2 linked regions of the Drosophila melanogaster genome follow. The protein of the gene in region 2 purifies or fractionates together with the protein of the main gene of each other region. This does not show direct contact. Each region holds a gene or a part of one and is shown on either strand. Other genes may lie near its edges.

Region 1 (3,268 bases), on a different chromosome or scaffold from region 2:
TTCGTGGCTATCAGGGATTGACGAATCATGTGTCCAGTGGCTTGGCCTGGTACATCAACGGCTACATGATTCCAGAGCTTTACCTAAAGCGTGGTCTGACCTACACCTTTAAGGTTAGGGGTGGCAATAATCCTCACTCGCCGGAGCACTATCATCCGTTGGTTATCACCGATGATCCCCAGGGTGGGTATGACCGACTGTCTGATGCAAAGCAGAGTGAGATTCGTGTATTAGCCGGTGTTGAATTCACCCGGAGAGGCAGGCCCAAGCCCACGGCTGCTGGTCCCCTGTGCCTGTCCAGATATCCTCAAAATAGTGATCGTCGACTGGATGATAACTTCCCCACTTTCAAGAAGTTCAATCGATCCCTCATCACCGAGTGTGTAGAAGGGGAACCGGCTCTATTGGAAATTACACCGAATATCACATGGCCGGATACTGTGTACTACAACTCCTTTACCCATGGCAATATGGGCTGGAAGATTCACATCGTGGACAGTTATACCAACTTGAAGAGTGGATCGATGGGCTTATCCTGGTCCTTGTGCATCATCCTGCTACCGTGGCTCGTGCTCCAGAACTGACTGTTTTCTCATTCTTAGATTCTCCTATTTAGTGTCTTAGTCTAAATTAAGCAGTCACAATCTATGTATTTGATACGCGTGTGTAGAATGTATGCTAAATGTTGTGTATATTATTATTTATATGATATTTAAATACAGAACTGTGTTGTACTTTAGAAGAATGAGCTATGAAGTTTTGACCCAACAAAAAATCTAATATACATCATTTTTTCAGTGAATTAGATTTATTTGAAATGTTATTGTAGAATCATGGCAGCTGTTATTCTGGATGAAACATGGTGTACAAATCACCGAAATGGGCGCCTAAGATTCGGATTCACGTTCTACCTTCTTGCGCGGCACAGGCTTTCCGTTCACCCACGGAGTGAACTTCACATGGCTGATGTTTCGCTTGGCGGCGTCTGCACGGAGCTCAATGCGCAGGGCCTCTCGCACCACACGGGCTGCGATGTTGGAATACTGGATATAGGTAATACCCAGATCTCTCCAGGCTTTCATCTTGCAGTAATATGGGATTAACTATAAAGATGTTAGGATAATAAGTCAAAAAAAGCTATCTGCATATAAAGGATCTTACCTTCTTCCGTTAAGAATTCGATATAAAACCGAGCGACGGGTTTCTTTTCAAGATTTCGCACACGATTGGTAAAGCCTATGTTAATATTTAATTGCATTAAGTTACAATATCAAAGTAAGTTAAATCAAAGCGCCTTGCTACCTCCTCACTTTAAGATCTTTTAAGGCAAAGCACGTGTCTTTTTATCGATGTTTTTTTTTTATCCAGACAGGGCTACAAACTTAATCGAACTAGGAGTTCTATGGATGCGATAAAAGTTCGATTTGAAACCAAATCGATACAATTTTTTAAATATATTCAAAATCCAGCTTACATGAAATGTAAATATAGCTTACTTTTCACCCCCCAAGCTCGCATATTATATGGTATGCATTTATTTAATTAAATACAAATATATATTTTATGCAACTTTAGTAAAGCACTTAATATTACCATAATACCAGTGTCATACCCGCATAGAAAAGGAGCGGCCTTTTGTGTTTTTCTCGGCACTTGCGCACTTGGGCACACTTATTTGAATATAAGTCACTTGAATTGATTTTTTCAACACGCAAAGGTTGTAACTTAGCACTATGAGCACTCTTGATGCCAAAAAGATAGAAGAGGCGGAGGCCTTGATAGGACAGACGGATAGTGCCGCGAATGAGTATGCCAAAGCTGGTATGTATTTCAAGGCAGCAACCGCATATCGAATTGCCAAAAGTTTCGATAAGCGCAAGGATTGTCTTTTGAAGGCCATCGACTGTTACGAAAACAACAAGTCATGGTTCCATGCAGCCAAATCCTACGAGCAGATTATCCTGCTTGCCAAAGAAACGGACAAACTGTCCGAAGTGGAGGACTATGCCAATAGGGCTTGCTGTCTCTACCAGCAACATGGTTCGCCGGAAGCAGCAGCTGCTGCTCTCGATAAAGCCGCCAAAATGACGGAATCCAAGCATCCTGACTTGGCTTTGGGATTTTACAAACGCGCCCTGGCAGTCGTCTTGATTGGGGACTCCACTCATCAGGCATCGGAATTTGCATCGAAGGTTTCCCGGATATTGGTCAGACTCAAAAAATATGAAGAAGCCACGAAAGCCCTCAAAAAGGAAATAAGCCTAAATCTGCAGACAAAGTCTTACGGACAAGTTGGCCGTTTAGTAGTTGCTTTAATACTGGTACAATTAACACTAGAGGATTACGTGGATGCCAAGAAGACCTTCAAGAAATGGGGAAACCGTTGTGATCCCCAGGAGGTGAACACATTACAAAACCTACTCAAAGCTTTTGACGACGAGGATCCTGAGCTGGCCACCAAGATGCTGGCATCTCCATTCATAAGACACATGGACGTGGAGTACGCACTTTTATCTAAAGATGTGCCATTACCAAAAGGAAATCGTCAAATGACCAAAAATGCAGTCGACAATGCCGCAAACTAAAGAGCTTTTACAAAATGTGGTTTATAAATGTTGTAGTAGTTTTATTATTGTTCCTTAGGTGAAAAAGTTTCATAAATGTAGGTACACTGTTAAAAATATACAAAAATATAAAAAGTGCTAACTCAGAAAACGCATCAGGTGAATTTATAATGCCTTTCCACAACTTTTATACGAAACATATTTTTTACCTTTAAATTTATTGTTACTCAATCTTTTACACTACTTTTTATGCATTTTATACATATTTTTTACATATCCCTAAAATTATACTAATAGTTTTGAACATCGAGTTCTAATTAAAATTATATTCGCTTAATAATATGCAACGTTTGACAAAAAAATGTTTTCAAAATTAAAATTGACAAATACATTCACGAAAAAATCTTTAAAGCATGTGTTTTAAATTCTTTTCAAATAATTGGAGCTCTCACTTAAGAAATTCGTGTTCAATTTGATCAGGAAGCCCAGCTTAACATTAAGCCCTAATTTTATTTTGAGTTATCAATCGGCTTATTGGACTTTAGATTATTTTGGACTCTTCGCCGTGCTTGTATCTGCAGCAGATAAGATACAGTTGAGACCATGTGTATAATTAGCCGTCCCATCAATAAACTTATCCACTGGACACTCGCTCCAATCGCAGTGTCATTTCGCAACGAACAATCATGATGAAGTGTGGCCGG
Region 2 (6,625 bases):
CTCCTCATTCTCCTCCTCCTGCTCTCCAACTCCTACTCCTCGCAGGATGATCCATCCATCCGCGCTGCTCTTTTATTGCCGGCAAATATTTGGAACCTCTACCTCTGCGCTTCGGCTCGTTTCTTCTCCGCCGATGGGTGCTGTATTATTATTTGGCTGATTAATTAACATGCCGCTCCCGATCTCCAAAAGCGGACCACCGAGGGCGGCGATGCCCAGAAAATGTTTGTGGTAGCACCATCCCGGCTGGGAACAACAATGGGATATTCCAACAAAATGCTGACAAGGATAACACAAGGGTCCAACTGTGGGAGTCCACAGGTCTGGCGCAGATCAAACAAAATTAGAATGTAAAGTTGATGGACATGTGTTAGGGAGTTCCAGCTGAAGTAAACTATAGATGTATGTATATACTACTAAAGCATATCCAAAACAGTTCATAGGTTGCAAATACATTTATTTATATTTATTTTTTTGGATCATATGTATATATATTTATTTTTTGCTTGTGTACAATATCAAACATTGATGTTTAATAAGAGTGGGAAAAACTTATATTGCGCTTATAAAAACCATCAAAACCACAAGGGTTATGCCCTCCCATATGAACCCACATATCTGACCAGATCTCAGCAGACTCTCCACTTCGAGTCCATTCATTGGGTCTAAAGATCCCAACCCAAAGCTAAAGCTGAAGCTGTGTCTGAAGATCGCCTTCTCTGTCTGGCTGGCACTTCATTTTGTGGGATCGTCCGACTGCCTGACTGGCTGTTCGAGTCGGGCTCCTCGAATTTTGGAATTTGTTCTGCCTTGTTAAGAGTTGTTAAGATTATGATATATGTATGGGATGTCGGCGAGTGTGTGTCGGTGTGCTGGCGGAGATTGGGCGGCTGGGGCGCTGAGCGAGCGGATCGGGCGGGTCGGTCGGATCCGGCAGAATCATCCAGCAAGACGACGACAGCGGCAGCCATTATGATTCACAGCAGGAATGTGGGAAACGGCTGCCTGACCATTTTATTTTTTTTCTCGATTTTTGGGTCTCGACGGCGGAGGAGCTGCGCTGGCTACGAGATCCACACCACACAGATACTCACGCATACAGCGACAGTTGCATTTACCACATAATCGATTCATGCATGTGGCAAGTTAAGAATTTCTTTCATGTTGCGTTCTCGTTGTTAGTTTCTGTAGTCGTTTTTCCCTCTCATTTTTTCCTTATGATTTGTTTGAGCCGCATCTTTTCGGACCACCCGTGAAATCACTTTGGGTTACCAGTTTCTGGCTGGGAGTTCGACTTTTCGTTTCCCCTGTACTTTTATTTATTTATTTTTTTTTTCGAGTCTCTTGGATTTTTTTTTGGGTCTTGGGCTTTTGTTAAATTGCTCTTGTTTATGTTAACATTTAAATTGTGGCCACGGGTAGTCTGGATAGTAACCCAACCCCTGCCCGGCTGCCCAACCAAAACCAATATTTAAACTCAACGCTCCATGAATAATCATCGTCATCGTCATCATCTCTTCTTCGGCCTTTCATCAGGGCCATCAATTCTGATTTACCAAAAGTGTTAATTAGCCCACGGATCGCTTTTTTCTCCACCATATTTTACTCATTTTTTGTGGTATTTGTTTGCCGCTTATCTCGGGAAACTTCCTACAGTGGCCTGAATGTCATTGGAAATATTTTCAGTTCGAGCTTTTTCATTTCATGGGGAAAATTTCAGCATTTCGCTGGTCAAATGCCATTAAATTGAGGAAAATCTTAGAGATTTTATTACTTTACTACATTGGCCAATCTGTAGAATCAATTCTATAAACATTCTCTATCGTTGTTTTTACAATTGATTTCTATAATTTGGTATCGGTTAATAAGGTTCTTAAAACATTCCTTTTCCTGCCACTTCTTTTTCCTACTTGTTAGAATTTTCATTTACATCATCTTTTCTTGCAACACCAATTCAAACCAAAGATGGGCTTTCAGGGATAATTTAACGCTCTTCTTTGATGGACTTGGCCTGCCTGGCTGCCAGGCTGCCTGCCCGTCTCCCAAGGAAGCGACATTCAATCAGAGCTGCAGTGCTTCGAAAAAATGCGCCTAGTGCTCCAGTGCGCTGGCTATGCCATCGACAGCGACTTGCCTCGCCTCGATCCATTCATAGTTGGCCAGGGATAGTGCTAATTGCTGGGTGCTGTCCCTGCCAGCTTCTGCGCCTGTCCCCAAGTGCCGCGCATAGTTGTCGCCCCATAATTGTGGCACCGCCGCCGAAGGCAGCGGGCATCGGGATGGCTGGGCCATCATCGCCTCAGCCGTTGACTGGTTGTCTGTCAGCTGTCCATCAAAGCGTTGCCAAGTTGGTGTTAATGGGTGCCTAGAATGCGAGTACCCCTGCCCGCCGCCAAGCTCCCATTCCAGCAGCTCTGGCACCAGCTCCCTGGGCTTGTTGTACACGAGGCTACGCATGTTTTTGCTTGTTGTCCTTCGGGGATTAAGCGTCAGGTTGGAGTAATTGCCGAGTGCTGAGCTCTGGCTCTGCCGTTGCGTTCGCTTGCTTCTCTTTTTTGCCTGGCATTTAATTTATTTTTGGATATGCTTAAAGTAAACGAAAGAAGCCACACAGACACCCATGCACATGCAACCAAAACCCGGTCCACTCCGCTCAGCAGCAATGGAATCGGAGCAGCCGCTCCTAACTCGTCGCCGTCGGCGACTGGATCTCGCCGCCCAGGGCGGAGAGCTCCTTGAGGAACTGCCTCGCGTTGGTCAGCGTGGAAGCGCCATAAATGATGCGCCGTTGCACATTGGACGTTTGCTTCTGTTTGATGAAGTCCACCAGGTTCTGGTACTCGATGTAGTTGCCTCCGCCGACCATGAACACCACGGCGTCCTGGAATGGAGCACGATTTTTGGGCAGGACCTCGCCACCTTTGAGCAGCTTTGGATCCAGATAAAGGTAGTCATCCGTCTCCGCATTGCTGCGGCACTCCATCACCTGCTCGGTGATCTTGGTCACCGGAAGATTCTGCAAACAATTTTGATATAGAACTTGAATTTGAATTTGGAAAGAGAAACTCACATGTCGCTTGACCACCAGATTCTTGACGCCCTCCATCACGAAGGAGCTGCCCTGTGAGACGAGTTTAGTGAACATGGACACAGTCTTGGTGCCGCCACCCTCGTACTGTGTGGCTTGGCTAATGCTCGGCGAGCGGTTCATGATTCCCTTCCATCGTTGCACGTACGCAAGGGCAGTTAGGTCACAACCGGCAGCCTGCAGCGCCTCCTTGAGCCGCTCCTGCTCCGATTCGGGTAACTGCTGGGCGCAGATAAAGTAGATGATATACAGGCGCAGCTTGTCCTCCGCCTGACCAAACTCTCCATCTCGCAGTAGGTCCAGCAGCGGTCTGTCCAGTGTCTGCTTCGACATGACCTTCTCCTCGATCTCAAAAAACGAATCCAGTCGTCGAGCCTTAATGAAGTTCAGGATTGCAGTGGCGATCTTGGTGTGCATGTCGATCAGTCGCTTCTTCTCCATCAGTTGGGGCAGCGAATTGACGGCATTGGTGAGCCTGGCCGTTGTGTCATTGACCAAAGAGAATGCAATGTCCGACTCGCCCTCGATACCCATCGATGTCTTCAAGCGCTTGATCTCCTCCTCGGAGTTCCGATAGGATTCCAGCTCCTCCTGGATGGCTTCGGCCACCGTGGGAAATGGACTGCCCTTGTGCGTCATCCAGAAGCGGTCGTTGCGGTCCAAGTCACAGGCCTTGGGTTTTTTGCGGGCTCCTAAAGAATAGGAAAACGTAGTTGGTGAGTCTCAGTTATTCAGCGCCTTGATAAAAGTAATTTTACTTGCCCGCACTAGCCGTCTCGTCCTCCACGTAGACAAGATTCAGTCCCAAGTCCAGTACATCGTGCACAAGCGCCTGATACGACCAGGTGTGATGGAGCGGCGTGGCTAAATCCATGTTCCTGTCCAGCAGCAGGAGCACAGGTCTCTGAAAGCTGAACACTCCGCCGCCGGCTTGCGTGGCATCCATGTGGAACAAATTGGCACGCGCATCCCAAAGGTTCTCGCGCAGCTTCTTCTCCAGCTTGCGTGCCACCATTTCAGCGGCACTGTTCCGCGGACAGCGGATGATGGGCACATTGCCCAGGGTCACAAACAGGGCGAAGAGCGAGTCTACAATGGAGTCCATCAGGGCCTCCATCTCTTCATCGCGGGTGTTGGCCCGGTTGATGGCGTAGTATGAAAGCTGATCGCTCTGCTGGTGCTTTAGGATGAAGAAGTCATCCTCCAGACTGATGAAGTTCACATACTGGTCGTAAACGCGATGGATGTTGGCCACGCAGCCGGCATGCAGGGCTGCGGCGGCCAGATTCTCGATTTTGCTGCGCGTTATGGGAGCTAGGAAGTTCAGGTGGTACACGTCGTACAGTCCGCTCGAGAAGTCCTGCTGAATCCTGTCCAAATTCTCGTCGGTGGGCAGGCAGAAGTATATAGCCGGCACATCCGGAATGGAGTCGCGATCCGAGTGCAGTTGCCTGGAGGTTAACCAAAGCTATAATTTCTGGATTCCTGGAGGATCTCGCACAACTTACACATGCAGCGTCACGCCCAACTCGCGCAGCTCCTTGATGGAAATAATGGGCGATATGATGTCCTGGCCAACGCGATCGTAGATAAGGATCTTCCACACGGGCTCGGCAGCTAGGGCTTTCGGCTGCTGCGAGTTCAAATTAAGCATCTGCTTAATGGCATCTGCAATGATTAATATGAAAATCCATTAATTAGGTTTTCCCTTCAATGGGGGCATTGTTTTCATAGTTTCTCACTGATTTGGCGCTCCCGCAGGGTCAGCATTATATAGTCCGTCTTTAGCCCGTCCTTCTGAGTTAGTTTCAGTGGATTTTCAACAATCTATGTCCGTTTTAGCAGCTGAAAAACATATTTTACAAAAAAACAACACGTCACAAGCGACGGCGAGGCAACGCGTTTTGGGAAATTTTAGTGCATAGTACAGGCATCAGCTGTGCGGCTGGTGTGAACGTATGCAGTGGAAATTCCAATATGAATATTTAAATACTAAATGAAAATGAATGTAGTCTATTTATTCTATAGATATAGATATGTGTGCCAGTGTAATGCAGCTATATTGGGTTGGTATATTTTCTACAATCGAAATTCGTAGGCTCCTGTTCGAGAAGGTTGGCAGCACCCTTTGGGATTACCGCACGGTCACACCTGTCAGCTGATTTCGAAAAGTCACGTTTCAGTCAGTTTCACCATTTTCTGCCAGTTATTTTTCGTTCGTCGACGCGAGTGGTTCGTTGTGCTTTCTTGTGATTTTATTTAAAAGTTGTCGGATCGCAATGATCTTAAAGGAGGAGCACCCACACCAGAGCATCGAAACTGCCGCAAATGCGGCAAGGCAGGCGCAGGTCCGCTGGCGAATGGCGCATCTTAAGGCACTCAGCCGCACTCGAACACCAGCGCACGGCAATTGCTGCGGTCGCGTCGTCAGTAAAAATCACTTTTTCAAGCACAGTCGCGCGTTTCTGTGGTTCCTGCTGTGCAACTTAGTGATGAACGCGGACGCATTCGCCCACTCCCAGCTGCTCATTAACGTCCAAAATCAGGTGCGAAATCGCAAAAAAAAATGGTTTAAAACACTTAAATCCCAACAACGCAAAACGCAACAACGACAAACAGCGACGCTGGCAGCGCTGCCCATCTGATTTTCGAACATCTCATTTCGAAAATTTGCGCGCCAAAACAAAACAAATTTAAAACGCGGGAGAATGAGAGAGCGAAAGAGAGGTGCTCAAGACAAATAAACAAATCTGCGAAAACAACAAATTAAATATTAAAAAGATAGTAATTCAGTGACAGTTATTACAGCTATGACAGTAGAATATGACAAGTATATGTATCTGAAATTTAAAATTTGCCTAGTCATATTGTAAAATACGCCAATATATTGCTTTTAGAATTAGCAAGGATTCGGTATTTCATAAACAATGCTTAGTTCGTTCTTAAGAACACGCAGTTCATCCAATAAGTTGCAAATGTAAAGGATTGCACACACGCATACACAGCCCACGTTGATTCGTGCAGCACACATGTGCACAACAAATCATGTCCCCTATTGATTTATGCAAAATACAGGATTCTCCGAATGGAAACATGTTCTGTGAGCTTGTACTTCGCCGATATCTAATTAGTATACCGTTAAGTAGGCCAGATAATCCATCGATGCCTGATGACCATAAAACAAAGCTCTATTCTATATGCTTGCAACGCCATTATGTACATATGTATGTACATGCATATGTCGCAGCGTTGACATTTTCTTGTGCCTGATCTCCCATGTTGAGTGAAGCGAATTCCAACCGGCGTGCGCGATCGTCTGTATGCAACTGATCGTATTTTCTACGCATCGATCTATCCTTTACACACGCTAGTGTAGTCCAACTAGGCGACAGCGCGACAACGCCGTCGCCTCACTCGTAACGGTACTTTGACGCCAGTCATATTCTTCGTGATAGTCAAATTCTAAGAATGACCTCTCAATATACCGAACTCATTGCGCAGCTGCGTCTTGCAAGCACAGTGGTCAAACCATGGTAA

Evidence for each region. Proteins that work in one complex are often made in the same cells at the same time.
Region 1: the proteins of Slh (region 2) and gammaSnap2 purify together in Drosophila melanogaster (affinity purification with mass spectrometry, with the first as the bait; one large-scale study listed by BioGRID). This does not show direct contact.

The regions. Positions count from the first base shown.
Region 1 is NT_033777.3:10,119,840-10,123,107, reverse strand, and holds gammaSnap2 (gamma soluble NSF attachment protein 2), read left to right. Parts: upstream 1-1,707; 5' UTR 1,708-1,733; coding exon 1,734-2,585; 3' UTR 2,586-2,709; downstream 2,710-3,268. Other genes in the region: knk (knickkopf), read left to right, coding at 1-584; ATPsynepsilonL (ATP synthase, epsilon subunit-like), read right to left, coding at 888-1,082.
Region 2 is NT_033779.5:2,487,663-2,494,287, forward strand, and holds Slh (SLY-1 homologous), read right to left. Parts: upstream 5,010-6,625; 5' UTR 4,859-5,009; coding exon 4,831-4,858; intron 4,757-4,830; coding exon 4,597-4,756; intron 4,540-4,596; coding exon 3,851-4,539; intron 3,781-3,850; coding exon 3,071-3,780; intron 3,017-3,070; coding exon 2,684-3,016; 3' UTR 535-2,683; downstream 1-534. Other genes in the region: oaf (out at first), read left to right, coding at 5,368-5,634. UniProt on the Drosophila melanogaster protein: Non-vital for development.